Danio rerio: one gene and its partners. The main gene of each other region encodes a partner of the protein of the gene in region 3 in a complex. Links are inferred from orthologs where the notes say so. Each region holds a gene or a part of one and is shown on either strand. Other genes may lie near its edges. The genes, in order: exosc6, exosc2, exosc1, exosc3 and exosc4.

Region 1 (5,628 bases), on a different chromosome or scaffold from region 3:
TAAAATGTCATCGCAAGGTGTGAAATATTGTACAGACTTGCTAGCGCTTGTAACGGTTGGTTCCGAGTCAGAATGATTGCTTCTCTGAAGTTGCATGTTAGGAGGAATTGTCTTGATTTGACAGAGGAGCGGCTGCTTCTGTGGCGAATTTGTCTAGAACTGCAGGAATTCACGGCAGGACGGGGATATTTTTGTAAGGACGTGAAACGCTGTGGCTGAATTTAATTAGTTTTACGACCCTCTTCGAACCCTTTGAGCAAACTCTCGTTTGAAGAGCTCACTCGAGGCACGTGTCTCTCTCGATTACTGAAGTTGTTTGTGAATTTTCAGCTTGCTTTTTTATGGCATTTCTCAAATTTTAGAGTACGGATAAATAGAACTTTTATCACTTAATTCATACAATATGCATACAGTTTGCATTATAAACTAATATTAATTTAGGAATATGAAGTCTTAAAAAATAGATGGAAGGGTCAATAATTTGGCCTTCTCAACTCTTAGACCCTTTAGCCTATACTGAACTTTTAAGTACTTGCTGTAATGTTAAACCATGCTTGATTCATTCATTCATTTTCTTGTCAGCTTAGTCGCTTTATTAGTCTGGAGTCGCCACAGTGGAGTGAACCGCCAACTTATCCAGCAGGTTTTTACGCAGCGGATGCCCTTCCAGCCGCAACCCATCTCTGGGAAAACCATGCTTTATGATGCTGTGCAATATTTATACAATCTATTTTATTAAATGTATTGGTATTGGTGGCGGATGTGGTGTTGTCGCGAACTGAAGAGCGTAGTGGTGGACATTGGGGGACATTGTTTCACAGTAATGGGTTGCAGCTAGAAGGACATCCGCTGCATAAAACATACACTGAATAAGTTGGCAGTTCATTCCACTGTGGCGACCCCGGAATAATGAAGTGACTTGGCCTTTTTGCGCTGTGGCAACCCTGAATTGATATAGGGACTAAGCCAAAAAGAAAACACACATATGGGGGTGCTTGGGGTGTTTTTTGTTGCCAGTTTGATTGGGCCCCCAAATAGTAACTCTGGGGGTCCAAAAAGAGTGCATCTTCCCTGCATAGTTCTTAATCGTTCTAACCTTTTCCCCCTGGCGACGCCCCTGCATATAGCCAAGTTTCATGAGTTTCACTCATTGTGATTAAGTATTTTTATAAGATCCAGCTAGAGAGGCCCATGGACTGTACAATTGTAATTAGCCTAAACCTACAGTGCTCAGCTTATATAAGTACACCCCTCACAAATCTCTCTTTTAAATTCATATTTGTAATAGGAAGCTGTACAATATTATATTTGTGCATATACAATAGATTAGTCAGTTCTGAAGCCTATCCAACAAAATAACAAATTTTTTATGATACAGAAAAATATTAAATACAAATTTTAAAAAGAGGAAAAATCAAGAGAAGCAAAAAATAAATAAATTTTGTTGAAATTGTGTAGGTTGTAATTTAATTTTTTAATGTTTCACTTGAATTTAATTGTATAATATTTTAACTTCTAAATATGTTTTGTGACTAATATATTATTTTAATACATATTTCTGTTTATTAAATCTGTTTTGTTTAAAAGCACCAGGATTCATTGCCTATATTCACTGAGAAATGGATAAAATTACAAATTTTCAAATTGGGCTGTACTCAATTATGCTGAGCACTGTATATACTCAACTGCCACTCAAAAATTAAACGAGCTATTTACATACAGTAGAAAACTCAATGCATTTAGTCATGCCGACTTTGAGGGAAAGGGATGTGATGCATTGTTGATGGCAGAAGTCAGAGGACATTTACCTGTTTTGAGCTGAAAGGCAACAGTCAAATAACTCTCTTCAGGCAAGATATGCAGACCATCTCTGAATGAATACACAACATGTCAAACCTTGAAGCAGATGAGCTACAGCAGCAGAAGAGAACATGATGCTACTCCTGTCAGCAAAACAGCAAACTTAACCTAACACTAACATGGTTTACCGAAATTGGACAAAGGAAGCTTGAAAAACTGATTAGGTGAGTCTTGATTTCTGCTACAACTTTTGTGGAGTCAGATTTTTGATCTAAACAACATTAATGCATGGATCCATCCTGTCTCGCATCTTCAGTTTAGCCAGCTAGTAGTGTAATGGTGTGTGTGTGTGTGTGTGTGTGTGTGTGTGTGTGTGTGTGTGTGTTTGTTAATTTGTGCTGCTATGTTGCTTCTATATGCTGTATCGTGTAACTGCTATCATTTTGATTCTGTATTGGGCAAATGTCTTCTGTCCAACTTAATTATCTGTCTTGACTGTCTGACAATGGGAAATGACTGTTCGTTGTGTTGCTGCTATTGTAAAATGTCCACATTATTTCAACAGTTGGTATTTACATTATTAATGGTGTGAAGGATGTTTCTCTGCATACTTCAGGCCTATCAAAAGTAATAATACAAACAGCACCGTGTATTGAGCTATGGTTGCAGACTGCAAGTCACATCAGTGTTCGACTATCTACACTGCAGCAAAATAGTAATATCCAACGTGTTGAAAAATGGCTAAACTAGGTCTACATTACGTCTGTCAAATGAACTATTTCATTCCTGACTTTAAAACATGCACATCACATCTAACAAAGCATAATGTCTTTGCCACAGCACATTTGCCACGTTATCCCTATCCGGCAGAGGGCAGCAGCGCGCAAACAGCATTTGATTGCAGCATCCCGAAGCATTTGATTCCTCGAGGAAGACTGAGTAGTTTCACCGCTGCAAAGTAAGCTATGCTCTCGTAAACACGTGGGTTTATTAAAAATGCCGGTTGACACAAAACGTATTCGTGGACCGGAAGAGTCGCAGTCCCCGTTGCTCTTTCTGTCCCCGGACAAAGCCCCTAAAGCCCCCAGCAGCAGGCAGGGCGTCCGCGGGAACGGAGATGTGCGGCCGGTGTTTGCGCGCTGCGGGCTAGTCAGCCAGGCGAAAGGCTCCGCGTACATCGAGGCTGGAAACACCAAGATCATCTGCTCGGTGTACGGGCCGAAGGAAACGGAACGAAGGGACGAAACGGACATGAAAACCGGTCGGCTGGTTTGCGACTTCAGGCTCGCGCCGTTTTCCTGCGTGAAACGGGGAGCCTGGATCCAGGGCAGCGAGGAGAGAGACCTGTCCGCCACTCTGATGGAGAGCTTGCGGCCGGGAGTTTGCCTACACAGATACCCGCGCTCTCAGATTGACGTGAATGTCATGGTTTTGGAGAATGACGGCTCGGTTCTGGCGCACGCGGTGACCTGCGCTTCGATGGCCCTGGCGGACGCCGGTATCGAGATGTACGACATTGTTTTGGGTTGCACGCTGCGGCAGAGCGGAAACGCGTGTCTCGTTGACCCGTCATACGCCGAGGAGTGCGGGAGCTGGCAGGAGGGCTACGGAGACAACCAGGGGTGCGTCACCTTGGCTCTGCTTCCCAATCTGAATCAGGTGTCTGGCCTGAATGCGGACGGGGAGATGCGGGAGGACACTCTGACCGAGGCTATGAGAACCTGCATGGACGGCTGTCATAAACTCTACCCGGTGGTTCAACAAGCGCTGACGCGGGCTGTCAAGAAGAAAGCGCCTCCGCCTGAGAAATAGACTTTTGTTTGGCGCTTCTTTTTGAGAACAGTTAAAATGATTACAATTGTTGAAATTTTGTACATTTAAATGTGTAATAATGTCGAACCAACTAAATAAACTCCTCTGCAGTTTTATCTCCTCTATGATCTTGTATTTGTTCATTTCAGTGGTGTTGCTGATTTTGTATTCAGATTATTTCCCCCTAAACGAAAATCTCCTGTCGCACCCTCAATGCCATCCATGGTGTAGATCAGGGGTGCCCAAACTTTTTCTTATGAGGGGCCAAAAAAGTTGATTATAGGTGGTGAGCTGAAGTTAAATAAACCAAAGTATTACATTACAGTTGCCATGGTAATTACCTTATTTATTAATATTTAAAATAAATTGAAAGAATACTGAAATCATTAATAATTATATCTTTTTTGCATTTTATAATGAACATCTTACAATAAAAAAACAATCCTCTTTATAACAATAATGTTCACTGCTGAATATATTCAGGACACTTGATTTGCTCATCAAGGACTCTTACTTTTTTTTTTTTTAAATGTGATTCATGCACAACATTTAAGTGAAACTTTTAATTTCAGTTGCTTTTTTTGCAACCCAACAATTAAATGAACAAACAAAAGGTTACATTAAAATTAGAAATGACAAGCGCGCGGCATGGCACCAACCTTTTCATCATTCTCCCTCACTTCTCAGATAGGATGGCAGGCCGTAGTTTGGGCATCTCTGGTCTAGATGGCTTTTTCCTTTAGTAGAATATTTAAGATATTTAGATGAAGCCATTGCCCATGGTCAGTCGTAAAATGCAAGTCAGTAGCTTGCAGCACTTTCATAGTCTGAAAAACACAGGCAAAACAAGTTAATACCCGTGGTTCTTTGGGTTTCTATGAAATGAATCAACTGTTCTGTGCTAGAAAGTAAATGTTATAAGAATATTACCTTAATCTCTGCAAGATGCACAGACTCTGTGTTGGTGGCCGTGACTAGAACTATTATTTGAATCACCATAGGACATCTTTAATTAAGTAGACACCTACTTCTTGGATAACCCAAGTATGAGCAACCAGCACTTTTTTTATTTATGAGGTAACTGCCCCTTTAAACAGGGTTACCACGCTTCCTAAAAGTACTTGAATTTCAGACAAATAAATTCAAAACAGAACAAAACACTGAGAAATTTAAATTCTTTCATTTCAATATTGCACAATAAAACTGACAAATTAATGCACATTCAAGTTTTTTTCAACATCCAAATCAAATCACTTTTATTGTCACATAATGATTTGATTTGTTAAAAAAAAACATGACTGTTAAAAACGATTCATTTTTGAAAATTACTACATTTAAGCATAAATATCTAACAACAAGTCTAAGTGAAATACTAAGTACAGTTGGTGTATGATTTACAACAGCGATTTATTTAAAATTAATGGTGCTTTAAAAAGTACTTTAAAGTCTTTGAATTTGCTGTTTGTGGAAGTGTGGGAATCCTGTTTAAAGAACTGAAAATGAATCAGTAATAAAAAAAAAAAGGTTTAGATGTTACTATCGGTATGTTAGTCTTAATGATATCTGTAATCTAGTGTGCTCCAAAACAGTGACAAATTTGGCAATTAGAAAAAAACAAACAACCAAAAACGAACCTAAATGGATAAACATTTTTTTGACGTCACTTCAAACTCCAGTGTCTAATCGAGAGGGGTCTGGCTGCAGACCTGGTGCAGTGCAATCTGGGCTGCATCCAATGCTTATTAATGGGCTTACCTAACCCCACCCGTCACAGTGACTTCACTAGCTTCATTTGATTGCATTGTGTCTGAAATTGCATCGCTGAGTGATGCAGTCTCAGCTTGCATCATAAAGGCTGCATCCAGATACTGTTGGTCTAATCAAATCTTCTGACCAATCAAATGCTCTCTTGTATCTGACAAGGTCAGGAGCTACTCTATTTCCCACCTTGTCTTCATGGTTCAGTTAAAATGACATCACACAGCAAACAAAAACAGGACCTTCGAAGTTCACAAT
Region 2 (6,704 bases), on a different chromosome or scaffold from region 3:
AGAACAACCATGATTGATTTTATTTGGTTTTAGATTTTTGCATTTATGAGGAAAAAGCTTTGTTATGGATGTGACATCTCTCCATTATGGATGTGACGGATGAGCAATGTGACTTTGGTAAATCAAATATAATAGTTTGAAAACACAGACAATTACATTTTTGAGTATTTTTAAAGCACTGTAAAATACAAACACACACACACAAAAAACGCAGAAACAGGTTTACTCTTTTGGCAAAATATATAAAGAAATATATTTAGATGTATATATAAATATATATATGGAAGAGATCTTAGTCCAGCACTTATAAAACTCAAGCACTTTAGGAACATTTGTTGTCCTTCCTTGTGCAAGGTTTAAGTTATTTCATCACGGGGTAACATTTAACTTTACAGAGATGTTACGTTTCCTCACACCAAGTAATGATTTCAAAACAATCTCTATACAACACTAAATGTATCCACAGACATAAACAACCGAAACAATCACATCAACAAACCATTGAGATAACAAAGGATATATTATACATTGAATGCTTACCACTGAACTGAGGTTTAGACATGCCTTTCTCTTTGGTCTGTAGACAAGCGGTTTCACGTTACGTTAGGCTCACCTTATGTCAGGTATTCAATAATAAAAAATAAATTTTACGTTACATGGAATTATTCGATAACAAGACGAGAAAGTATAGCTATAGTGAGTCAGGCCGTTACAAAACGACGGTTGATTTTTAAATGAAGGTTTTGACCGTTAGAATTTAGGCGCGCAGAACAGAAATTCAAATAAATGTGAGGTTTTGATGCCATCTAACGTTCCTCATTATTACTGAGTAAATCATTTATGACTATTTTAATATTTAACTAATTATTCCACATCTTGATTAATTTAAAATTTTCATAAATGCTGTATTTACAAATTTAGTTCTGTAATTCTGCAAAATATAGCTCATGAATTACATGAAAACAAACATCAAACATACAAAACAAATCAAATCATAAAGGTTATGTATGTTTTTTTTTTTGTTTTTTTTTTTTACGTGTCCCCTCTTGAAGTTCTGGGAAAGTTGTTTTATGGTTGGAAAAAAAGTTAAATCTAAAAAGAATTCGCAAAACGTTATCTTTGGCTTTAAAAAACTAACGTTAACAGGAATCAAAATCTAACGTTAAGGGAACGTTGAGTGTTCTCTGACCGGCGTTATGGAAGAGCAGCAGGTGCTGGATGTCCGGCTGGATATCTCTGGTCTCGGCAATGAGTTTTTCCACTCCTGCTTCACAGCCCAAATCCACCGGGACGCAGCGGACGGTGAGGCCGGTCTCCCCGCGGGTCAGCGCGCTCTTCAGCTCCAGCAGCTGCTCCTCCGACCGAGCCGCGAGCACCAGTACTGAGCCCGGAGATACACGTGCCGCCACCGACAGAGCCAGAGCTCGGCCGAAGCCCCGGGATGCCCCGGTGATGATGACCAGTGCTTTCCCGAATCCCGAAGCCGTGCTCATGATTCCCCAAGGACTGACGAGAAGAGCTGCCGAAGAACCGGAGAGTTCAGCATCGATTAGTCACGCCTCCGGAAGACACGAGAGACCCCGCCCACTTTATGGTTTATTAATAAAATAATAAACTGTGAAATAGAAAATTTATGACTCCAGGAATACACAAAAGAGTAAATATAAAACAAAACAATAGACAAATGAGTGAAAATAACAAACAATACTGTAAATGGGGTTAAAAGAATGCTAAAAACATCAAGAAATAATTAAAGAATCAGAACAGTGATAAATATATATACAATAAATCTATACAAATTTATATTAATAAATATATACAAATTTAAACAATTTACTAGATACAGTAAATATCTAGGCCACGAGATCAATTCACACAATAAAACAATACATAAAAGATATTTAGGTGTATGAAAATGTGTAAATAGTAACAAATATAATAATAAATATAATAATAATAATAATAATAATAAACATAATAATACATGATTATTTATATAATCTCATTCTTTTAAGAACCTGTGTTTACACAATAAAAGAATAACAAAAATAAATGTAGAAAGCAAATTGGTTCTGAAAAGTATAAAATTATTTTGTTAGAGCATATAATGTTAACTTAATGTTTTAATGTATTAAAGTTTTGCTATATTGTCATTTAAAATGTTAAATATAAAAAGTCTCTTAATTCTCGTTACAAAATAAAACCTCACACATTGTATAACACGAACTTAAATCGTTATTTAATGACCAAATTCAGATGATTAGATGCTCAAACCGAACACGAACACAGTCGGGCTTTTATTATGAAGTGGAGCCGTGCTCGCCGCCATATTGCCCGGCTATAGTGTTGTTGAAGCATGGCGGTGGAGATGCGGCTTCCAGCGGTTCACAAACACGTTTCCCTGAAAACAGGACAGAGTTCCCGCGAAGACAAACACCTGGTTGTGCCTGGAGATGTGATCACCTCCGACACGGGCTTCATGAGGTACACAGACATTAATAACTGGTATTAACTGAGCTGTTGTAGAATAAATGTGTGTGTGTGTGTGTGTGTGTGTGTGTGTGTGTGTGTGTGTGTGTGTGTGTGTGTGTGTGTGTGTGTGTGTGTGTGTGTGTGTGTGTGTGTGTGTGTGTGTGTGTGTGTGTGTGTGTGTGTGTGTGTGTGTGTGTGTGTGTGTGTGTGTGTGTGTGTGTGTGTGGAGTGAACTCGTTGAGACCTGCAGTCTGTCAGTCTGTAGCGGACTTGATTGAGAACTCAAGTTAGTGTATGTAGTGTATTTGTTCAGTGTTGGAGAAAGTTACTTTACTGACAGACTCTTCTGGAAAGTAACTAGTTGCGTTACTTTTTACGGTGACGCGTTACGTTACTTTTAAAATACATTATTTACATGTGTATTGATTGAGGTAAAGTTGGTTTGTATTTGCACGTTCGTTCATTTTTGAACGGTGATAACTTGTGACACGTTGCCTGTATTGTACTTTGAGTATTCGGTCTGAAATCGCATGTAGTTTGACTTAAAAACAACATCAGCACTATTTAATTGACTGTAAACAATGTTGTACTCTGATAGTCATTGGCTGCTGATATGAGTTCATTATTAAAATTTGTAAAGATTACTTTTTTGAAACTGTATTATTAAGAAGAAAGTCTGAATGTGCCAATATAAAACCCACTTTACCTCAATTGTGGATTGCTGTAGCAAAGTAATGCTTCACAACTCTGAAAAATCAGTCATCAGATATAAATACTAGAAAGATTTTAAATGATATATTATTTGATAAAAGTGCTCTATGTTTAGACTGTAATATTATGCTTTAAAAATGCAACCGCAAACATTCCCACAGGTTGTAGGGTTAAGGATTAAAACTTGTTTAAATGGCCTTTCCAGCGATTATATAGTTTGTCATGATTAGATTAGTATTTAAATGCAGTATAGTGAATTAAACTTAATCGTCCTGCCACTGAGACGTTGATTGTTAATGGGTTAAAACAGAACCTCTAATGTGCCAGTAAAACATTTCAATAGCATTGACTAACAAAGTCACCAAAACAGAACTTCACAGTCTGCATAAGAAGTCCATGCTTTATAAACGTCAGGGACTAGTATCATAGAGTTGTAATGATAGGATAAAGTCTGCATGAGAGCGATTATGCATTATGGATGTGACATTTTAACAGTGCTGTAAAATACAAGCCTACTCAAAACACCGGGAAAGGGTTTGGTGTTTTTGTGAAGAATGTATTTGTTTATTTTATGGCAAGGTTGACATTTGCATGGAATTGCTCAAAATCTAAAAGGTCCAAGACAAGTCTAATATTATTACTGATGTGTCTAGCTCTTACAAAGCCGGACTGTGTCTCCACAATCAGCTGACTGATTCTTTATCTTTAATCTGTTAGGAAATATCAAAAATAAATTTATCGTCAACAGTGATGAGCGTGATGGACACCAATTATCGGTTTGGGAACACCTCGTTTCATTGATGATGTCTTGTCTTGTCTATTAGATCAATGCATTCATTATACATCCAAAGCAAAGGGTTTTTAATTAATTTGTGGAAAGAGCATACCAATCTTGACGGATAATCCATCATTGCTGGGAGATTTACCTTTCTTCATGGACGATTCGAACTTTCTCCAAGGTCAAATTGGAATCAGAGTATATTAAATTCAGAACTGGATCATGCGTTTCCATTTTATTTACAAAAACAATCCTTACATTATCTGTCAAAAGCAGAAGTGTAAATGTTTTACTAAAAATCTGTAACAAAATTAACTATTAATTAATTTCCGAGTGCCCCAACTTTCTCTTTTTGCGTGCACTCTTGCGTGTCTATATCTGAAATAATAAACCTGAGCTCATGGTGAGAACTTGTGTGTGATTATTAAAGTATTTTTCACATCCATTTAGAAATGGCCAAACATGAAAGTCAAGCTTAAACAGCAATGTTAATATGGCTTAATAAATGTTTTATAGCAGTCTAGGAATAGAATCATAGCTTGTGATGTTTATAGTCTGCATAATCGAAAAGGTCTAAAAAACTGTAATATTATTACTGATGTGTCTAGCTCCTACAAAGCCGGACTGTGTTTCAGCAATCAGCTGAAATCTTTAATCTGTTAGCAAATATCAAGGCTAAAATTTTATTGTCAATAGTGATGAGCGTGATTGCACGCTAATTATCTAAATTTTAGATCAATGCATTCATTATACATCCAAAGCAAAGGCTTTAATTAATTAGTAGAAAGAGCATATAAATGTGCCGGTCAATCCATCATCGCTGGGGTGAAACAAGAGCCCTTTAAATTTTGCTTTACTGTCTTATTGAATGTGAAATTCCAATTGTGCGAAGATAAAAACCGTTTTCATCTGACTTCACCTCGTCCTCAGGGGTCACGGCACCTACATGGATGAAGACAGACTCACCGCTTCAGTGGCAGGACAGGTGGAGCGAGTCAACAAACTCATCTGTGTGAAACCGCTGAAGACCAGGTGCACACTGACTTACACTAACGCCACAGCACAGGTCTCAAACTAAATTCCTGGAGGGCCGCAGCTCTGCACAATGTGCCCCAACCCTGATCAACTGTGTTTGATTGGCTTGGAGCAAAACTGTGCAGAGCTGCGGCCCTCCAGGAGTTAGAGACCTGTGCACTACAGTATAGCACACTGCACTTCACTAATGTATAATGCTGTGGTAATACTGTGTTCTAGATGTGATGTTCTCCTCCTGCAGGTATAACGGAGAGGTGGGTGATGTGGTTGTGGGCAGAATCACTGAGGTCAGTGGTGTTCAGTAGTTTATGTATAAAATCTCTCGTTGTTGTTGTTGATGATGATGATGATGATGATGATGATGATGATGATGATGTGCATCTCTAAATGTTAAGGTGCAGCAGAAGCGATGGAAAGTGGAGACTAACTCGCGTCTGGATTCAGTGCTGCTGCTGTCGGCGGTCAATCTGCCTGGAGGAGAGCTGGTGAGCTGGCAACACGCATTCAAGGGGCAGTTCACACACAACTCAGTTACAATACTTTAATGAATGCTCCCGCACTCTCTACCATTAACTATAGTGGACTGATAAATACCCCGCAGTTGGCTTGTTTGTTTATATTATTATAGTTGTTGTGTTACCATAGCAACTGTAGAATTACCACATCAGAGCAATTACTATTGTGGTTGTGTTACCATAGCAACTGTAGAATGGCCACAACAGATCAATTACTATAGTTGTTGTGTTACCATAGCAACTGTAGAATCACCACAACAGATCAATTACTGTAGTTGTTTTGTTACCATAGCAACTGTAAAATCACCACAACAGAACAATTACTTTTGTGTTTGTGTTACCATAGCAACTGTAGAATCACCACAACAGATCAATTACTATTGAGGTTGTGCTACCATAGCAACTGTAGAATGGCCACAACAGATCAATGACTATTGTGGTTGTGTTACCATAGCAACTGTAGAATCAGCACAAAAGATCAATTACTATAGTTGTTGTGTTACCATAGCAACTGTAGAATCACCACAACAGATCAATCACTATTGTGGTGTTACCATAGCAACTGTAGAATCACCACAATAGATCAATTACTGTAGTTGTTTTGTTATTATAGCAACTGTAGAATCACCACAACAGATCAATTACTATTGTGTGTGTGTGTGTGTGTGTTTTTTTCTCAGAGACGTCGTTCCACGCAGGATGAGCTGGCCATGAGGGATTATCTGCAGGAAGGAGATCTCATCAGTGTATCCTCCACATTTACCGCATCAGACATTCATCATCCCTGGATATACAAACAGTGTTCTTACTGTAAAAATACAGTCATTTAAAATAGGTATCAGCATTGAAAGAAAGCTGAAATATATAATAAAAATGTTAGCTTTCTTTCAATGCTAATACCTATTATAAATGACTGTAAAATATGACCTTTTTTATTAGTGCTTGTTTAATAAATACATTTATATTTGAGTTTTGGAAATAAAAAGTCATTAATATTAGCACTTATTTGTCTAATTTAGCATGAATCATTTTTCCAGCCTTATTTATTTTTGTTAGTAAACCTATAACTAGGCATTACCTGGGAAAAATAAAATATAATATTTGCAAAATAGATCAAATGTCACAGGAGGCTAATAATTCTGTCTTCATCTGTATATATTCTACTGTATTCTTTAACGTGTGTAAGGCGGAGG
Region 3 (6,830 bases):
GAGGAGCAGCAGCTCTATTCCGAGGTCCTCCTGGGTAACAGAGCTCCTCACCATATCCATAAGAGTGCACCCTGCGAAGGAAACTCATTTCGGCCGCTTGTATCCGAGATCTTGTCCTTTCGGTCATGACCCAATGTTCATGACCATGGGTGAAAGTAGGAACATAGATTGATCGGTTAATCTCCTCTATGAATCGCCACCTTATCGTGGTGGAGTGCCTGAGTGATCCTAAGACTTCTGTTGTCTGGGGCTAATGCTACTGGTAGGATCTCCCAAGGCAAAAAGGTCTTTGGTAACAGGTCAGACTAACTGCAGTTCAAAAACTCCTTATGAGTACAAAAACATTAAGGGCCGTGACGTCGCCGGTATGGCGCAGCCGGGACCCCAGCCTGGAGCCAGGCCTGGGGTTGGGGCTCGTATGCAAGCGCCTGGTGGCCGGGTTTTTTCCCATGGGTTTTAGTCTGAAGGAGCAATGTGGGACCCTCCTCCTGCACCACATGCAGGGGGAGACTTAAGAGGCCGGTGCGTTGTGGAATGGGTGGTGGTAGAAGGTTAAGACCAAGACAACCTGATCGTCAGGCACAGAAACGAGCTCTTAGAATGCATTCAGCTTGCCAAATTTACATAAATCTTCGATCGTTAGCAGTGTGTCTCAGAAGTGCTGTACTTCATGTTTGCAAGTTTTCTCCCCAACAAACCCAATAATATCGACGAAACATTTACCTGTGTTAGCACACAAAAGGCAAAGGAAGATGCTAACCATCTCACAAAAAGTAAAACTTCTGAACTGCTTAAGTATGGTAGAAGTTACGGGAATGTTTAAACAAGAAAGAAAAGTGTGAAAATATTAATGCCTATCTGGAAAAAGGAGTGTCGTGAGGGGTTTCACAGCCTTAAAACATCTAGAATAATTAATAATACAACAATAATACTACTTCTCGGATTTCACCTATTGCAGGTTATTTTTAGAGTGTAACTCCAGTGATTAACGAGGGATCACTGTATATTATAATAGCAGATTTACTGATATGCAAACATCTGTACCTGATTGTGCCTCTGAACCTGTCCTTTAGCGGTGTCGAACCCACATATAAGATGTGCACTTTAGCAAACCTTGGGTTGATACTCGTCACCTGGAAAGGGTGAGGAAAAACATGCATATTCAATACACTTTCAATACATAAATACAGTCATAAATTACAGTTGAACAAAGTACAACACACATGCAGTCGAAACCTTAAAGGAACACTTTACTTTTATTGAAAAGGCTCATTTTATAGTTCTCCAAGAGTTTTACCATTTTTGAATCAATTCAGCCGATCTCCAGAACACGTTTAGTTTAGCTTAGCATAGATCATTAAATCAGATTAGTCCATTAGCATTTCATGCAAAATTGAGTAAGGAGTTTTGATCATTTACCTATTTAAAGCTTGACCCTTTTATAACTGCATCATGTACCAAGACCAACGAAAAATTAAAAGTTGCTATTTTCTAGACCAATTTGGTTATAGGAACTATACTCTCATACTGGTGTATGAACAAAGAAATTTGCCGCTGTACCAATGAGTGAAGCAGGACCAATGATGATGAAAAGCACCTTAAAACAACACCAGCAGGGTAACAGCGATGCATAATATCATTGTTTCTGCTGTATCCATGGTGCAGCAAAGTTTCTTGATTATTACGCCGGAATGAGTGTATAGTCCCTATAACCAAATCAGCCTAAAAAAAGAGCAACATTTCATTTTCTGTGAGTCTTAGTACTTAATGTAACAACAGAAAACTCAACCTTTAAATTGGAATATCATATAAATGTTTAAATAATGTTTGCAGCAACATGCTAATGGTCTAATCCAATTTAATGACTTATGCTAAGCTAAGCTAAAAGAGCTCCAGCCAGACCTGAAGATCAGCTGAATGGATTCAAAAATGGTCAAACTCACTTGTTTAACTTCAGGAGAGCTGTAAAATGAGCTTATTGCCCAAAAACTGTGTTTCTTCAACTTTCGTAATAATCTGTAAATGGCTAACAAAGACACATGTGACAGATTAAGATATATCAAAACCGATATACCTTACAGGTGACGATCGCACCGACGTCAGGCAAAAGTTGCGCTTCTGTCTCTCTAACAACTGAAATCACCGGCAACTAGAAATCAAGTCGGGAGGAAAATTAAGTACTCGGTTATGAAGAAACATGGACTTCTAAGCTGAAATTTAATCTGCATGAGAGCAGCAGAGGTGAACTGACCTCCTCTCCCTCATTCTTCCTCAGCACGTATCCTGCTAGTGAAGCGAAGATGTAGCCGTGCCGCAGATACGTGCCTGTACCAGGAATACAGTCCTCTGTGCTGCAAAGCCTTTCGCCTGCAGGACACACACACACACACACACACGTGAGGCATGCTACAGAAAAATGCATAAATCATGTACAGTACTGCTGTCATAATAGAGAGTCTATAAGCCATGACGAACACAAACACATCCACAGTTTGGCCTCAAGCTGACATGTTAAAATTAGTCTATTAACTGCATAATAATTGTAATAAACTTATAACATAGTGACTTTATGATTAGGACATGAGATTTGGTCTGTTTACTATGAATGCTTATTTCAGCCAAGAAATAAGTATGATAAAGGTACAGTTATGTGAAATATTTCAATATTTCATATTTTTCAAATATTTCCCAGACCATGTTTAATAGACCAAAGGCATTTTCAAAGTATTTCCTTTAATGTTTTCTTCAGTAGTATTTTTATGTGCGTGTGTTAAACATGTATATATTATGTACATGTGAAACATAAAAAACAGTTTTGAAAAGATAGATATTTAAATTTATATACAATTTGTAACACACACACACTTAATGTCAATATATGTCAAATATTATAACTATTTTAAATAATGAAAAATAAAATAATAAATATAATAAAATAATAGAATGATAAAATAATAATAAATAAATGCATTACAACAAAATAGTCCATTAACAAAAACAAGCAGGTTTACATTTCAACTAAAACAAAACCTCTTACACAAAAGCTCTGGCTAAGTGTATATAAGTGTATATACATTTACACTAGTGCATATCTAGCTAGTAAGTGATTACGAGACTTTCCACTCCCGACTAAACGAAGAGTTGCAATTATATTCAGCTACAAATGCAGTCCACAAATAAACATCATAAATCTGGATTTCCTGAAGCAAATCAAGCCTAAAGTGATGAGAGCAGATCGCGTCAGCGGATCGTGTAGAGGCAGAAGAGCGAGTGTTTGAGGGCAGGTATGCATGACAGCCCCGGGCGGTGGGCAGGGCTCGCCAAACGAGTCTTTAAACCCCACAAACTCATCCACAAACGCGATTATTTACAGTGTGCTTGCAATCAGCTAAAATAGCATCTTTATTGGCATATGTTGACTGAAGTCGAAGACATGAGACTTGTTTACAGCGTCATAACAGTCGCGCGTGCTGACGATTCAGCCCTACAGCAGTACACGTGAACGCTTCGAGACGCAAAACTATCCGCAACTTACATCAAAGCTCATAAAATGTCACTATATGCATAAAGGATCAACACATAGCCAAGATATGTCAGCAATAAGACGCCAAACATAAAAGTAATCCCCCAAAAAACATGTGAATAACAGCGACCCACCTGGAACACACAGCTTCATGGGCGACATGTTTTCAAGAAGCAAGATGAGCCTTGTGATTGGATATTAGTCTGACAGGAGCTCGCGCTCTGATTGGTCAGTTCAGCATGTGTGGGTTAAGCAAACCGCCATATTTGTTGTGGCAGTATATTTTTTAGTTTTTTATTAACGTTAGATACATAAATCATGAATACAAATGAAACAATTATACAAATGAGTACATATTTATGGTACACATTAGTTTCTAATACATAAATGTAACAAAAGAGCACGAAAGAGTATTGTGGCAGTAAATGTAAACGTTTTGAGAGAATATACACTGACTGGCCACTTTATTAGGTATACCTTCCTAGTACAGGGTTGGACCCCCTTTTGCCTTCAGAACTGCCTTAATCTTTCCTGGCAGAGACTCAACATGGTACTGGAAATATTCTTCAGAGATTTTGCTCCATATTGACATGGAAGCATCCTGCAGTTGCTGCAGATTTGTCGGCTGCACATCCATGATGCGAATCTCCCTTTCCTCCACACCCCAAAGGTGCTCTATTGGATTGAGTTATGGTGACTGTGGAGGCCATTTGAGTACAGTGAACTCATTGTCATGTTCAAGAAACCAGTCTGAGATGATTCACGCTTTATGACATGGTGTGTTATCCTGCTGGAAGTAGCCATCAGAAGATGGGTACACTGTGGTCATAAGGGATGGACATGGTCAGCAACAATACTCTGTTGGCTGCTGACATGATGTTTTTTTGGTGCTAATGAGCCCAAAGTGTGCCAAGAAAATATCCCCCACACCATCACACCACCACCTCCAGCCTGAACTGTTGATACAAGGCAGGATGGATCCATGCCTTCATGTTGTTGATGCCAAATTCTTACCCGACCATCCAAATGTGGCAGCAGAAATGGAGACTCATCAGACCGTGCGGCGTTTCTCCAATCTTCTATTGTCCAGTTTTGGTGAGCCTGTGTGAATTGTAGCCTCAGTTTCCTGTTCTTAGCTGACAGGAGCGGCACCCGGTGTGGTCTTCTGCTGCTGTAGCCCATCTGCCTCAAGATTGGGCGTGTTGTGTGTTCAGAAATGCTCTTCTGCAGACCTCGGTTGTGACAGGTGCTTATTTGAGTTACTGTTGCCTTTCTAAAAATTAGCCATAGCTTTAATACAACTAACAAAAAAATCACTTAAAAGTCTGTGTGAAATCGAAATTTACAATGTTTATTTTGCTAGCGCACATTGTTATTCTGAGGTTAAACATGTAATCCGTGCACAGTAATCTGCTGAAAAAAGTTTGTTTTGGTAATATTCAAAGTCTGAGCATCTGCATTTGGACTGGTTCATTTTCTGATGACATCAGTTTAAGCTTCAGCCACAATAATCTTAGCCACGCCCCCTTTGTTTGTTTGCTATGAGGGAATGATGTAAAAGCCACGCCCCCTACTTAATATTCATTTTCAGTTTGAAGTAAATTGACATACTGGAATAAAAGTTTCAGCAACTGTTCAGACTTTAAACGCAAAAAAATGTGAAGGTCTTATTATTACTATTATTATTACAATAAGTCATTATGTTTTTTCTTACATCATTGATAAATGTTTGTGTCCTATGATTATAAAAAAAAAAAATGAACAACAAATCAAAAAAAATCACATTAACACCACATCTCTGCTCGCGTAAGCCAATAATATTTATTAGGGATTGCACATTGTAACACACAACTCTCGTCTTTCAGTCAAGCAAAATAACTTACAAGCAAAATACTAAAGGAACAAACAAAAAACAGTGTCATTATTATTCTGGGGCACAATATTCAATATTGAATTATTAAGGTGAACATCTGCGGGCTCAAAATGCATTATTATAATCACACAAACGACAGCAGGACTTCGACATACATCGACATTAACCACATAATCAGTGACTAATCATTTTAATACACAAATCACCAAGCAAAACTCACTTCTCGACTCTAGATGTGGGAGAATTATGGGATATTTCCAGATCATCTCTGTGGGTGTTTCGGAGCAGCGACACAAAAAAACATGAATCACACGAAGACCGGGAAATAAACGCAGCCCACTTGATCATTAATATATGTCGGTGCCTGGCAACAGTCGTCAATGAAATGCCACAGCAGACAAACACAAGTGCCATCTTCTGAAATGTGCAGTGGTGGATTACTGGCACTAAATACAGCTAAAATCCCTCCTAAACATAATTTCAGCTCGCCGCATTCACACTCACACACTTCAAGCGGTTTGAATTGTATTAGGATGGTCCCGAATAAGAGACAGTTCACCCAAAAAAGTACTTTACTCACTATTTACACACTCAAGTGGTTAAAACCTGTTTGAGTTTCTTCCATTTTTTCTAGTCAATGGTTACAGGTTTTCAGCATTCTTCAAAATATCTTCTTTTTTGTTCAATAGAAGCAACTCAGATGTCTTCTATTAAACACAATAGAAGATATTTTGAAAAATGCTGAAAACCTGTAACCATTGACTTAGGAAACATATGAAAGTCAATGGTTACAAACATTTTTCAAAATATCTTCTTTTCTGTTCAATACAAGAAACTCAGACGTCTTCTATTGAACTTAAGATATTTTGAAGAATGTTGAAAACCAGTAACCATTGACTTCCACAGTAGGAAACACCAATATGGAAGTCGATGGTTACAGGTTTCAAGCATTTTTTAAAATATCTTTTGTGTTCAATAGAAGAAACTCGGACGTCTTCTGCTGAACACAACAGAAGATGTTTTGAAAAGTGCTGAAAACCTGTAACCATTGACCTCCATAGTAGGAAACACAAATATAGAAGTCAATAGTTGGAGGTTTCCAACATTCTTCAAAATATCTTCTTTTGTGTTCAAAGAAGTAACTTGGACGTCTTATTTTACACAATGAAAGAAATTTTGAAGAATGCTGAAAACCTGTAACCATTGACTTCCATAGTAGGAAACACAAATATGGAAGTCGATGGTTACAGGTTTCCAACATTTTTCAAAATATCTACTTTTGTGTTCAATAGAAGAAACTCAGACGTCTTATTGAACACAACAGAAGACATTTTGAAGAATGCTGAAAACCTGTAACCATTCACTTCCATAGTAAGAAACACAAATACTATGGAAGTCGATGGGTACAGGTTTCCAGCATTCTTCAAAATATCT
Region 4 (6,830 bases), on a different chromosome or scaffold from region 3:
ACATCTGAACTCATTTCCTGCATCTACAGTAGAGCAGATGGTGTTTACCACAGCAGCGCCTCCTGCTGGACCACAACAACACTTTCGGTCATTTTTATTTTAGACATTACTAATTTTTTTAACATTCTTCAAAGTATCTTATTTTATATTTAACAAAAAAAACATTTATAACTGACTAAATAAACAACAACAACAACACACACAGGTCGGCTGATTCAGCTGGTTTAATTTTCATACAAAAACTTCCTTGTACAAAAAAAGCAGACAAATAGAAATATCAGAATCAGTGGAGCTCTGAGAGACGACAGTTTTTACCACAGCTCTAGTTATGTGTGTTATTCCCCTCGACAGGCCTCCTGAACAGTGTGTGTGTGTGTTATATTCCTCCGTCCGCCACTCTGCTGAACAGTGTGTGTCTCTGCGCGGTGCTCATGTTCTCGCTGGCCTCCAGCAGGTTGCTCAGGATCAGTGTGTGTTGGACGGTTCTGGCCTTCACCCACACTCTGCCGTTCATGCCCACCACCATCTCACAGGGGAACATCTTCTCCAGATCCGAAACCAGATCACTTTGTGGAGCCAGCAGCCTACACACACATACACACACACACACACACACACACACAAGCGCTCGATCATCACTAATAACTGCACATTTACATGTTCACTTCTCTAAACTCAGGGCTTTTGCTAGTAACGACAATAGCAGAGTCCACTAAAGGAGATCGAGTCTTCTCATTTATGGCTCCTAAACTCAGGTATAGCCTTCCTGATAATGTCCGAGACTCAGACACACTCTCTCCGCTCAACACTAGAGTAAAGACCCATCTCTATAGTAACACACACACTGCTACACCTAACAGTATGATGCATAAGTGTGCTCCACACAGGTGTGTGTTTTCTAATCAGTACTGTGTGTTGGTGTGCGTTTTCTGATCAGTAGTGTGTGTTTTCTGATCAGTAGTGTGTGTTAGTGTGCATTTTCTGATCAGTAGTGTGTGTTTTCTGATCAGTAGTGTGTGTTAGTGTGCATTTTCTGATCAGTAGTGTGTGTTTTCTGATTAGTAGTGTGTGTTAGTGTGTGTTTTCTGATCAGTAGTGTGTGTTAGTGTGTGTTTTCTGATCAGTAGTGTGTGTTTTCTGATCAGTAGTGTGTGTTAGTGTGCGTTTTCTGATCACTAGTGTGTGTTTTCTGATCAGTAGTGTGTGTTAGTGTGTGTTTTCTGATCAGTAGTGTGTGTTAGTGTGTGTTTTCTGATCAGTAGTGTGTGTTAGTGTGTGTTTTCTGATCAGTAGTGTGTGTTAGTGTGTGTTTTCTGATCAGTAGTGTGTGTTTTCTGATCAGTAGTGTGTGTTTTCTGATCAGTAGTGTGTGTTAGTGTGTGTTTTCTGATCAGTAGTGTGTGTTATAGTGTGTTTTCTGATCAGTAGTGTGTGTTAGTGTGTGTTTTCTGATCAGTAGTGTGTGTTAGTGTGTGTTTTCTGATCAGTAGTGTGTGTTAGTGTGTGTTTTCTGATCAGTAGTGTGTGTTTTCTGATCAGTAGTGTGTGTTTTCTGATCAGTAGTGTGTGTTAGTGTGTGTTTTCTGATCAGTAGTGTGTGCTGGCTTGACCTGTCCTAATACACCAGACACTGTGTTTAAACACTCGTCCGCTTCACAAGTGTGTTTCTATAACTCTTATTTTCCCTGCTGCCTGTGCTGTTGAGTGTGTGTGTGTGTGTGTGTGTGTGTGTGTGTGTGTGTGTGTGTGTGTGTAGCTGTAGGTCAGACCTGCGCACGAGTCCCAGCGACACTTTAAAGAGCAGCCCGTCGCCTCCGAACACACCCATCCCGTTGGCTCTCCCGCAGCTGTCGATACACACCAGCTCCGGCTCCATGTCCTTGTTGGCGATGGTGAACTGCCCGAACACCAGATCTCCAACCTGGAGGAGCAAACAGCAGCGTTAGGAGGACTCATACACACCGAACACGACTTTGCTGGGTTGTTTTCCTCCACTCTGGGTTGATGTCGAGTCTTCATTTGTCCTCTTTCTCTGTGTTTCAGTAAATGTGATGATTTCTGCTGAATAATCTGAGTCTGACACACATTATGGGGAAATGCTGTGAGAGTTTTCATAACTCATCAACACACTGTTCACACTGTGTGTGTGTGTGTGTGTGTGTGTGTGTGTGTGTGTGTGTTCACACTGACTCTGCTTGGTTATGTTGTCTGTTGTTGCTCCATTCACTTCCATTATAATCACAGTTATTGACGGTGAAGCCCTGACAGCAGATCATCCTGCATTACTGACTGCTGCTGCTTCCCTGTGGGTCGATCTGTCATTTCACTGTTGATCATGAGTTGTTGCTGCTGGAGTGGCTCTGTCATCATGTACCTGCACGTTGGGTCTGTTCCTCTTGGTGGCTCCTTCAAAGGCCAGGTAGGACAGAGACGCCTGCTCACTTCCTCCAACGTCCACTTTGAAGACGTCTCCAGACTTTGCGGTCACGATGCCGATCACACTCTCACCCTTAGCTGGAACATACTGCAGGAAAGAGCAGAGGTCAGTCCGGAACACCTTCAGCACAGATAGAGGAGCACCACGACACATCCTGACCTGTGCAGTGTTAAAAAGGGCCAGTTCACCCAAACATGAACACTCTGTCATTTATTCACCCTTTACTTGTTCCAGACCCGTTCAGAACACTAATAAGATATTTAGAAAAATGCTGGAAACCTGGAGCCATTGTCTTCCATTTGTTTTTCCTACTATGGAAGTCAATGGTTACCGGTTTTCTGCATTCTTCAAAGTATCTTCTCTTGTGTTTGACAAAAAAAGAAACATGTAAAGGTTTAAAAATACGCTGAGAAAGGGAGTAAATATTCATTCTTGAGTGAACTGACCCTTTAAGATGACTAAAATAAATGATTTATATAGACCAAACGTAGTATACAGCTCTCTATCTCTCTCTCTCTCTCTCTCTCTCTCTCTCTCACTCATATATATATATATTTATTTAGTAGGGTTGGGCGATGTCAACCAATTTGGCAGTAGTGTGTGTTATTGTGTGTTTTCTGCCTAGTAGTGTGTGTGTTAGGTTGGGTTTTCTGCCTAGTGGTGTGTTTTTTTTTTTCCAGTAGTGTGTGTGATTGCGTGTTTTGCCTAGTAGTGTGTTCTAGGTTGTGTTTTCTGCCCAGTAGTGTGTGTTATTGTTTGTTTTCTGCCCAGTAGTGTGTGTTAGAGTGTGTTTTCTGCCCAGTATTGTGTTAACGTGTGTTTTCTGCCCAGTAATGTGTGTGTTCTGCCCAGTATTGTGTGTTATTGTGTGTTTTCTGCCCAGTAATGTGTGTTTTCTGCCCAGTAGTGTGTGTTATTGAGTGTTTTCTGCCCAGTAATGTGTGTTTTCTGCCCAGTAGTGTGTGTTATTGAGTGTTTTCTGCCCAGTAGTGTGTGTTATTGTGTGTTCTGCCCAGTAGTGTGTGTTAGGTTGTGTGTTCTGCCTAGTAGCGTGTGTTATTGTGTGTTTTCTGCCCAGTAGTGTGTGTTACTGTGTGTTCTGCCCAGTAGTGTGTGTTACTGTGTGTTCTGCCCAGTAGTGTGTGTTATTGAGTGTTTTCTGCCCAGTATTGTGTGTTATTGAGTGTTTTCTGCCCAGTAGTGTGTGTTATTGTGTGTTCTGTCCAGTAGTGTGTGTTAGGTTGTGTGTTATGGCTAGTAGTGTGTGTTAGGTTGTGTGTTCTGCCTAGTAGTGTGTGTTATTGTGTGTTTTCTGCCCAGTAGTGTGTGTTATTGTGTGTTCTGTCCAGTAGTGTGTGTTAGGTTGTGTGTTATGGCTAGTAGTGTGTGTTAGGTTGTGTGTTCTGCCTAGTAGTGTGTGTTATTGTGTGTTTTCTGCCCAGTAGTGTGTGGTATTGTGTGTTCTGGCTAGTAGTGTGTGTTAGGTTGTGTGTTATGGCTAGTAGCGTGTGTTATTGTGTGTTTTCTGCCCTGTAGTGTGTGTTAGTGAATTTTCTGAACAATAGTGTGTGCTGGCACATGTTGTGTGTGTGTGTGTTCTGACCCGTCTCTGCTGACAGTTGACCCAGTACATGTTGGGTTGTTTGTGTTTCAGGACTCCTGCTCTACACACACGGATCTCCGCTCCGCTCCGCCGCAGCCCCGGGCCGCAGATCAGCCTGTCCGCTTTCGGGTTCGCGTCTCCGGCTTCAGGAGGACTGAAGGAGAACAGCAGATCGCCTGGAAGAACCACATCTCCTATCCTCTCCAGCAGACTAGTGTGCACTGAGGAGTCCATGATGGAGGAGCGGAAAACACACACAAACACACGTGTCTGAGCACTTCCGGCACGGGGACTCTTATCCTATACAAATTAACTCATTAAAACCTCTCCAACCCTTTATGTCCACAACAGAAATATATTATAAAGATTTTTCTAAAAGCATTCTTAATATCATTCGACACCGGTAACCATCGACATCCATTATAAGAAAATAAATTCTATTGAAGTCAACAGTTAACGTTACTGGTTTCCAACGCTTAAATAACTTGTGTTCAACTGAGACATGGAATTAAACCGGTTTGGGACATGTAACGTTAACGGTTGAGTAAGTGATGGCAGGATTTATTTTAAGGAGATCTACCCCATTTATTAATATTTAGTCTTTGATTGTTTTTAAAAACGAAATATAATTAAATCGTAAAAACAATCAATAAATCAAAAACTGGATAAAGAGAGGGAGAACGTGCTAACATTCCAGCTAACACAAATCTTCCCCTTTAATTTAGGTTATTTTTGGGACTAATTAAACTAAAACTATAACTAAAATAACTTTAACTAAATAGGAACGTTCTGGTAACCAAAACTGTTGGCCAAGTTACTGGACTATACCGAAAAATGCATATTTTTTACCAGTTAAGTTAAATAATTCATACTGGAAATAAAAGTCACGATGTTTCAGAAGTTTGAAAACCGCTGAGCGGGAAATGGGGACTTTTGTGGCATTTCCGTTATGGCGGAGCACACAGAGGCAGAAGGCATCGGCCTGGCTGCAAACAGGTGCAGTTTTCGCTTTATTTTTCCCTCTCAGATAAACACAGACCCCCGGTTATCATTCGCCTTAGTTTATCCCGAAACTCCTCTGGGCTTCGTCTCCAATAAGGCAGATTTGAGTGGGTTTTAGCCTCGTCTGGCCCGTCGGAGGGTGGACAATGAAAGCAGCACAGCAGCAGTCGCCTCACTGTGTTTATATCGCAGTTTCCGCCGAGAATAAGAGCTTGAGGACACACACCGAGTCTCAGAAATAACCCTGTCAGTGTGTAGAGGGTGTGATGTGGCTGTGAGATCAGCTGGACAGTGTGTTTATGATGGAGTCAGTGCTTCAGATTCAGGTGTACTGTAATGAACACCTTCAGCAATGCAGGAGTCAGTGCAGACACTCCTCCATCATCAGTATCTGGGGTTAAAGTGTGTGTTCTGCTCGTCTTCAGCGTGTTTATGGTGTGTGTGTATCTGTTATTAACAGTGTTGGGGAGAGTTTCTCTCGAAAGTAACGGATTACAGTGTCGCGTTACGGTGTTTTAATGCAGGTGATGTGCTGTGAAAAGGCTGGAACTTTGCTTTTGGCTGAAAATGAGTTGTTGACGCTTTTGGGATATGCAGGATTTCCTTCAACACATGGACATGTTCCTTGAGCCACTTGTGTTTTTTTTAATTGTCACATTGCCAGTTTCCTAACAACAATTATTTGATTTAAGTAATTTTTCCTCAGTGCTACAGTAGAGCTGCACATGATGCTATGATATGACTCGCTGCCTGTCATGTTTATGGTGATATGTATCAGGCATGGGCTGGTATTAGTTTCTGACCGTATGATAACCTTGGACATAAATATCACGGTTTCACAGTATCATGTTATTGTGCTCACTGCTCTGAAATATTTACTTTTTAAATCTCTGGTTAAAAAACTAAACTTTTTTTTCCTTTTTTAATATATATATTCTATTTTGGGAAACATTTAAAATATTTTAGAGCAGTAAACATGTCAGGCTAAATCATTTTAATGAATCATTCACTTCTGCAGTCTTTGTTTTTTTATAAACACTAATATTTTTCCAGTTTAAAACAGAATCTTTGATTATATTTTCTGCTGGAGATACTGCTGTCCTTAAAAACAAAACAAAAATTAATAAAAAAAAAAAAGAAATCTTATTTATACCTTAGGAACGGGATAGCGGAAAATTTTCATGGTTTTAAAACCTTGACTTTCCCAAACCATGGTATACCTTGAGTCGTCCCATGCCAAATATATATATATATATATATATATATATATATATATATATATATATATATATATATATATATATATATACATATATATATATATATATATATATATATATATATATATATATATATATATATATATATATATATATATATATATATACGAGCAATTCCGTGCAAATGTCAACCTTGCCATGAAGAAAATTAAGTTTTCCTCAAAATACCGAAACCGTTTTTTTTTTTTTTTTTGGACAAGTATTTTACAGTACAAACTAATCTATTTGATTTAGCAAAGTCATACAAGTGGCAACTTCACATTTGTCACATCCATAATGACACTTTTTTTCTCTTAAATGTGAAAATATTAAATAAATAAAATCAATCATGTTTATTCTACAGTGAGCGACTCTTCTCCTTAAGATTAGCATTGTTTCTTTTGGGTTGTGCAGATTAATTGACAGAATTTCTACAAAGCATGTTGTATGCAGACGTTTTTTTGCTCGCATCCATAACGCATGTTTATTTTCCTCATTTAAAGTATAAAACATGTCTACAGATTGATCA
Region 5 (6,807 bases), on a different chromosome or scaffold from region 3:
TACTTTAAAAAAAAAAAAAAGTGAGTACACCCATTGCTTTTCAAGCTGTTAGTTGACTTTAAAAATTGAGTAAACTCATTTTCTTTTCGGCTTAGTCCCTTTATTAATCTGGGGTCACGGGTGACTTAGTCTTCACAGACAGCGTGACCATCCTTCTTGAAACTCACAGATGGTCATGGCGTGACCAAAGTATAAACCAACTCACACGTCTTTCTCGCCTTTAGCCATTGCAACCAATAATTCCAATATAGGCTGGCGCGCGCAACAGGAAGCGGGAGACGCATCTCTACAGCAACCTCTCGCCACACAACCTCTCCAATGCGGCGCCTCGTGATATTTGCTAAGAAGTCATATCAATTATATTCATTATCATTTGACAGTAGCGGAGGAACGCCGCCAAATGTAGCGAAGTAAGAGTGATGCTGCGTTCACACCAGACGCCGAACACGTATCAAGCGCGAGTGATTTGCATGTTAAGTAAATACAAACGCACCAATAGACATCCTGCAGCGCGATACGTGCGAAAGGTGCGGCGCGAATGACGCGAATTGCGCGAATGGCACGATACGCGCGAATGGCGTGCTGCAATTTGAGCGTTTTGTGCATTAGACGCGCTTGGCGCACGTTTTGCGCGAATCACTCGAGTTCGAAAATCTGAGCTTCAGCGGACATTCGCGCCGCGTTAACCAATCAGACACCGACAAAAAGTCATCAAATTGGGCTGGGCTCAGTCAGAAGCACCGCTGAAAGCCTCCGTCATCCAGGTTCAGTTTCTGGAGAAGTTTATGAGCTCACAGAACTGGATGCACGTCTGAAAGAAACTAGTGGACTCAGAAACGTATCGACGCTGTTTTTCAGTCTTCATAAAACACATAAACACTGTTATTTTCTTCATACAATCTATGTTAGCCATTTAGCTATGAAGCTAGTCACCGGGCAGAAAGAAGCCCTGCCCATCACGGGAATCCGCGTCTGTTGAATTGAATTTGACATGCGAATGAAGCGGATTTGACGCGCGAATGAAGCGAGTAAACTCAAATGTTCACGCGGCTATTTACACGCAAATAGCGCAATTTATCCGCGCATTCCGCGTCTGGTGTAAACACGGCATAATGATTTCTCTCTTATAATTTACTTGAGTAAGAGTAAAAGTAAAAATTTTTAAATGTTCTCAAAAAGTACCCAACAATTTTACTGAATTAAATGTAATGAAGTAAATGTAATTTGTTACTACCCCCCTCTGCTGGCTATATAATTTGCGATCTCCAGAAGTGTATACAGGGCTACGTTTTCAGAATGAGCCTATGTTGGATGTTTATTTCATGCACATGATTCTCACAGCTGCTGTCTAGTGAAAACAGGTTTGGTGGGAACTTTCCCAGTGAAACGTATCATCCATATCACTCTCAATACAGGCTTTTATTGACCAGAGTCTGGTTTTACACCTTTGAGAAGAAATGAGGGCTGACACTCGCTCTAGAGTTGCCAACTTTCCTATATTTTGGGCCACATTGATTTGTGCCGTACAGGAAAAATCTACCTTTTCTCTTTTTATTGAATTCTGTGCTGATTTATTCATACCACCGTGCTGATTAAGACTGGAGAATGATGATTCTATGAGGGAAACTGCTGTATTAAAGTCCCTGTAAAATCAAAATAGGCTATAATGCACAGCTAGTGTTTTCGGCTACCGATAAACTTCTGGTGAAATGTTAATGTGACTATTTTTTATTTCATACAGTTCCTTTTACAGCATCGATGTTGTAATGTCATTAAAATATAACTGGTTAAACATATTTAAGCATTCATTTAGTTGTTGAAGCCTAAAATAAGATGAAAAGCTGACAAATCAAACACTGTCTTGAGCAGCAGGCGAGCGCAGAAACTCCATTATAAATCCTGAAGTAAAATAAAAGTCCCTATAAAGACTACAGAACAATGTTATTTTAATGCATTGTTTCTTGTTAATTCTGAGACCCAATTTACATTGTAAATCATTATAATTGATTTTTTAAAGGAAAACAGATCTAAAACGCTGCGATTTTGTAACAGCAGTTCATTGGAAGCGCTTGTACTGGGTTACTAAAAATTAAAAGTCCTGCTGCATGTACACTATTAAAGGTGTTAGTGTGAATATGTTAGTCTTAATGTGCTTTAAAACAACAATAAGAAGCTACAAATATTCAAAGATTGGGTTTAACATAAGTAAGCTAACTCTGCCATCTAGAGAACAACCTAAAATACAGTATGAGGATTACTCGCATTAGTGAGAACTCAAATTAATCCAGCAGATGGCGGTAGAAGATACACAAGGAAAGCAAAATCCACAGCAGAAGAAGACCTGTGCGGAACAACAAGAAGAAGTTCATCACACACACGCGTGTTTTCAGTTAAGAAGCGGAGAGATATGGCGGGTCTGGAGCTGCTGTCGGATCAGGGTTACCGACTTGACGGACGGAAAGCGACCGAGCTGCGGAAGGTGCAGGCCCGCATGAGTGTGTTCGCGCAGGCCGACGGGTCTGCTTATCTGGAGCAGGGCAACACTAAAGCTCTGGCCGTGGTGTATGGGCCACATGAGGTGTGTGTTTGTGATGTCTTGGGTATGATAACGTTACAGGTATTACAATGATATGGTGAATTATGAGGACATGCTAATAATAAAATGCGACACACATAAATCTCTTTTTTTATTGAATAACGTTACAAGAATAATAAAATCACTGCATTGAAGAAAAAATACAATAACAAAAAATAAGAAAGGAGAGAGAGAAATAAAAAACACAGCATCAATCAAGAAAAAAGATTGTCATAAGCTTTAAGAAACTTATTATTATTAATAAGCTTAAGAGATTCAATATTGTACGAAATTTCAACAAGGAAAGTATTAAAAATAGGTATTGTTTGTATAAACTTATTTTTCGTGTATAAAAAATTTACAGTGTAACACAAAAAACCAAGTGTGCCGCAAGCCTACCTTTGAGTGAAGGTTTCGGCCGTTAGATCGCCCCCTGGGGGCTGGCTGCAGTACAAGTCATAAAGCCCGCCTCCTCCGTGTTAATGAAGGAGACTTGAGCCCAAATAAAAAAAAAATATTACACTTGCAATAAAATGTCCCGAAAGATAGTTCTGGTCGATTAAGGCACTGGTTATTGTGCTGAAATAGGTGCAGATCCTCATTTTTGTAAACAGTTTGTTTTTAGCAGTAATTTAATGCTGGGCGTGTCATCGTGATTGACAGCTGTGATTGACAGTTTCTCAAAGCAGCGCGTCTGAGCTTCGGCAGGAGACTGAAGTAGACTGAAATGTTATTATTCGATTTCTGTGTTATTTTACCGTGACAAAATGAGTTCAGCAGTAAACTACAGTTTCTGACATACATGATCCTGGTGGAACACTGTTTATTCGCTAAGTTCAGGGCTTTTTTCGGGCTTTATTAGTTTGCTGATACACGCCTAGCCACCCAGATAGCAAAACACAGTTCCGGCTAGATTCTCGCCTGCCGGAGACTTATCTCTTAGAGCTCAGACTGACTAATGTTACCTCTGCTGGACCTACTCCGGATGCCTGGACTCACTACCCAATTCCAGCCCGAGTCAATCGAGCCAGATGCGGCGGCCGAGCGAGCCGGCGCTGCCGCATGTGAGCCGGAATCAGCCCGCGACGCCGCGAGTAAGTTATGTGTTGCGGCCTGGAGCTGGCGCGATTGAATATATAAAACCCTCATATTTGTTAACGTTATTACATCCATTTGTGTTGATATGACAGCAAACGCACGCTGAGCAGTTCGGGGGGCGTGGTTGATTTTACATAAAGCGTTTGGTTGGAAGCTCGACTCCGCTCATTTTCGCGGCTCCTCCTCTGGCTCCATCAGACAGTCCTTCTGCGCATGTCTGGCTCCAATTTCAGCAGTCTTTTGCGACAGTTTGTGCCCGTCAAGCAGGCGTTTTGCCCTCAAGGCGTTCAATGGGAAAAAGGGCTGTCGCGTCGTCCATATTTTTTACAGTCATTGCAAAAAACACATAAATCTCACAGACATCATCAGAATGTATTATGATGTATTTAACCAATAACTGTATACCCTGCTGAAAAATCCAGCTTAAACCAGCCTAGGATGGTTGGCTGGATTTAACTGGTCGACCAGGCTGGTTTTAGTGGGTTTTTGGCCACTTCCAGCCATTTCCAGCCTGGTCTTAGCTAGGGCTGCTCGATTTTGGAAAAAATCATAATCACGATTATTTTGGTCATAATTGTAATCACGATTATTCAAAACGATTATCAGTTGAAGTCAAAATTATTAGCACTTTATCCTAGGCTGGTTCAAGCTGGATTTTTCAGCAGGACTATATATGAAACTGGGAATATTTTCTCTGTCAGTGGTCAGAATGTCAGTGGGATCTCATTTGTTATTATTTTTAAAATAAATTAAAACAAGAACAACACATTTCCGTATGTTTTTAAGTATTCGTGGATTCAATATAATAATATAATTCTTAATTAGTTAAACTGTCTAATATAATTGATTAAAATGGTGCTGTGAATAATAGACAATAATTATTACAAAACACTCAGGCCAGAATCTCTGCAGTAACGTTGTCCAACGTGTCGGTTATGTGTAACATCCAATATTTTATCATCGTTTAACTGAATAACATGTTGGAGTTCATCTTTGTCCCTGTAGATTCGAGGCTCTCGCAGTAAATCCTTGCATGATCGCGCCATCATCAACTGTCAGTACAGCATGGCCACGTTCAGCACGGCGGAGAGGAAGAGACGTCCACACGGAGACCGGAAGTCCAGCGAGATGAGCCTCCACCTCAAACAGACCTTTGAGGCTGCGGTGCTCACTGAGCTCTACCCACGCTCACAAATCGACATCTACGTCAAGGTACATGGACTTCTTTACGTTCATGCCGTTTATCATCCATCCACTCACCTGCCCAATTTTGCATCCACCAATCTCTGCATCAGTCGTTGATCTATTCTTAAATGCCCCCATGCATCTGTGCTTTCATTCATCCATCACCGTAAATCATATTGTATATTGATACTGAGTGCACTTTGGATGTTTTTAAAAACGTATACCAAATCATCCACACATGCATCCATCTGTGCATCCATCCATGCATAAGTTAATTCACATATTTGTACACATCTTAACATCCAGTGATCCATGCATGAATCGATCCGTCCATCATCATTCAAGCACATCCGTCCAAGCCTTCATCTGTTCATCCACTCATCCATCTGCTCAGTTGGTCATATGTCCAACCATACATCCTCCCTGGATTCTATCTGGAAATTCATCCATCCACCCACACCACTATCAATCCATGCATTTATTCAGCCATCAATCCATGCATCCACCCAGTTATCCATCCCTTCATGCATCCGCCCAACTATCTATCCATTCATCCATCCACCCACCCAACCATAAAATCACCAAGCTATCAATCCTACCCTTCATCTACCCACCCAACAGTCCATCCACCCACCCAACAATCCATTCATGCATCCATCCACCCAACAGTCGATCCAACCATTCATCCACCCAACTGTCCATGCATCCACATAAATATCCATCCATCCATGTATACACCCCACTGTCAATCAACTCATCCACCCACCCAACTATCGATCCAACCATTCATCCACCCAATTAATTATCCATCCATGCATTTACCCACCCAACAGTCCATCCATCTATGCATTCCCCAACTATTCATTCATCCAGCATACACCCACCTACCCATCCATCCACGTACCCAACTATCCATCTATCTATCCATCCACCCAACTATCCATCCACGCACCCAGTTATCCATCCGTCTACCCACCCAACTCCATTCATGCACCCACCCAACTATTCATCCATCCGACTTTCCATCCTCCATCTGACTATCCATCATCCATCCGACTATTCATCCATCCAACCACCAACTTTCCATCCCACCAACCACCTAACTCCATCCATGCACCCATCCAACTATCTTTCCATCCAGCATACACCCACCTTCCTATCCATCCACATACCCAACTATCCATCTATCCATCCATCCACGCACCCAATTATTCATCCATCCACCCACCTAACTCTATTCATGCACCCAACTATCCAACTATCCACCAACCCAAATTCATTTGTGCACCCACCCAACTATCCATCCATGCACCCACCCAACTATCCATCCATCTATCCACCCAACTATCCATTCAACTACCCATCCATCCATCCATCCATCTCTGCATCCATCCACCCAACTATCCATCCATACACCCACCCAACTATCCATTCACCCATCCAACTCCATTCATGCACCCACCCAACTATACATCCAACCACCCAACTATACATCCAACCACCCACTCAACTCCATCCATGGACCCACCCAACTATCCATCATACATGCATCCTGCATTCATCCACCTAACTACCCATCCATCCACACACCCAATTATTCATCCATCCACCCACCTAACTCTATTCATGCACCCACCCAACTATCCAACTATCCACCAACCCAAATCCATTTGTGCACCCACCCAACTATCCATACATCCAACTATCCATCCATCCATCTGACTATTCATCCATCCGACTATTCATCCATTTATCCACCCGACTATTCATCCATCCATCCACCCAACTATCCATCCCAACAACCAACTAACTCCATCCATGCACCCACCCAACTATCCATCCATCTATCCACCCAACTACCCATTCGTCTATCCATTCAACTACCCATTCATCCATCCATCTCTGCATCCATCCACCGAACTATCCATCCACACACCTACTCCCTATCC

The links.
Region 1: exosc1 (region 3) and exosc6 share a complex: the UniProt entries of both Homo sapiens proteins name them as parts of the RNA exosome core complex. The link is inferred for Danio rerio from reciprocal best matches to the Homo sapiens genes EXOSC1 and EXOSC6.
Region 2: exosc1 (region 3) and exosc2 share a complex: the UniProt entries of both Homo sapiens proteins name them as parts of the RNA exosome core complex. The link is inferred for Danio rerio from reciprocal best matches to the Homo sapiens genes EXOSC1 and EXOSC2.
Region 4: exosc1 (region 3) and exosc3 share a complex: the UniProt entries of both Homo sapiens proteins name them as parts of the RNA exosome core complex. The link is inferred for Danio rerio from reciprocal best matches to the Homo sapiens genes EXOSC1 and EXOSC3.
Region 5: exosc1 (region 3) and exosc4 share a complex: the UniProt entries of both Homo sapiens proteins name them as parts of the RNA exosome core complex. The link is inferred for Danio rerio from reciprocal best matches to the Homo sapiens genes EXOSC1 and EXOSC4.

Annotation. Positions count from the first base shown.
Region 1 is NC_133182.1:29,202,960-29,208,587, reverse strand, and holds exosc6 (exosome complex component MTR3), read left to right. Parts: upstream 1-2,796; coding exon 2,797-3,612; 3' UTR 3,613-3,737; downstream 3,738-5,628. Other genes in the region: slc38a8b (putative sodium-coupled neutral amino acid transporter 8), read right to left, coding at 1,809-1,870, 2,644-3,053. UniProt on the Homo sapiens protein: Non-catalytic component of the RNA exosome complex which has 3'->5' exoribonuclease activity and participates in a multitude of cellular RNA processing and degradation events.
Region 2 is NC_133180.1:78,503,799-78,510,502, forward strand, and holds the start of exosc2 (exosome complex component RRP4), read left to right. Parts: upstream 1-2,290; 5' UTR 2,291-2,356; coding exon 2,357-2,484; intron 2,485-4,891; coding exon 4,892-4,993; intron 4,994-5,237; coding exon 5,238-5,283; intron 5,284-5,391; coding exon 5,392-5,481; intron 5,482-6,191; coding exon 6,192-6,257; intron 6,258-6,697; coding exon 6,698-6,704. Other genes in the region: spra (sepiapterin reductase a), read right to left, coding at 1,190-1,493. UniProt on the Homo sapiens protein: Non-catalytic component of the RNA exosome complex which has 3'->5' exoribonuclease activity and participates in a multitude of cellular RNA processing and degradation events.
Region 3 is NC_133176.1:58,183,470-58,190,299, forward strand, and holds the start of exosc1 (exosome complex component CSL4), read right to left. Parts: upstream 3,699-6,830; 5' UTR 3,686-3,698; coding exon 3,658-3,685; intron 2,368-3,657; coding exon 2,252-2,367; intron 2,150-2,251; coding exon 2,075-2,149; intron 1,134-2,074; coding exon 1,045-1,133; intron 1-1,044. UniProt on the Homo sapiens protein: Non-catalytic component of the RNA exosome complex which has 3'->5' exoribonuclease activity and participates in a multitude of cellular RNA processing and degradation events.
Region 4 is NC_133189.1:58,543,674-58,550,503, forward strand, and holds exosc3 (exosome complex component RRP40), read right to left. Parts: upstream 4,286-6,830; 5' UTR 4,275-4,285; coding exon of another isoform or gene 4,041-4,274; 5' UTR 3,529-4,040; intron 3,334-3,528; 5' UTR 2,648-3,333; coding exon 2,375-2,647; intron 1,922-2,374; coding exon 1,770-1,921; intron 585-1,769; coding exon 377-584; 3' UTR 209-376; downstream 1-208. Other genes in the region: tcerg1a (transcription elongation regulator 1a), read left to right, coding at 4,990-5,036. UniProt on the Homo sapiens protein: Non-catalytic component of the RNA exosome complex which has 3'->5' exoribonuclease activity and participates in a multitude of cellular RNA processing and degradation events.
Region 5 is NC_133177.1:2,082,712-2,089,518, forward strand, and holds the start of exosc4 (exosome complex component RRP41), read left to right. Parts: upstream 1-2,352; 5' UTR 2,353-2,407; coding exon 2,408-2,578; intron 2,579-4,678; coding exon 4,679-4,885; intron 4,886-6,807. UniProt on the Homo sapiens protein: Non-catalytic component of the RNA exosome complex which has 3'->5' exoribonuclease activity and participates in a multitude of cellular RNA processing and degradation events.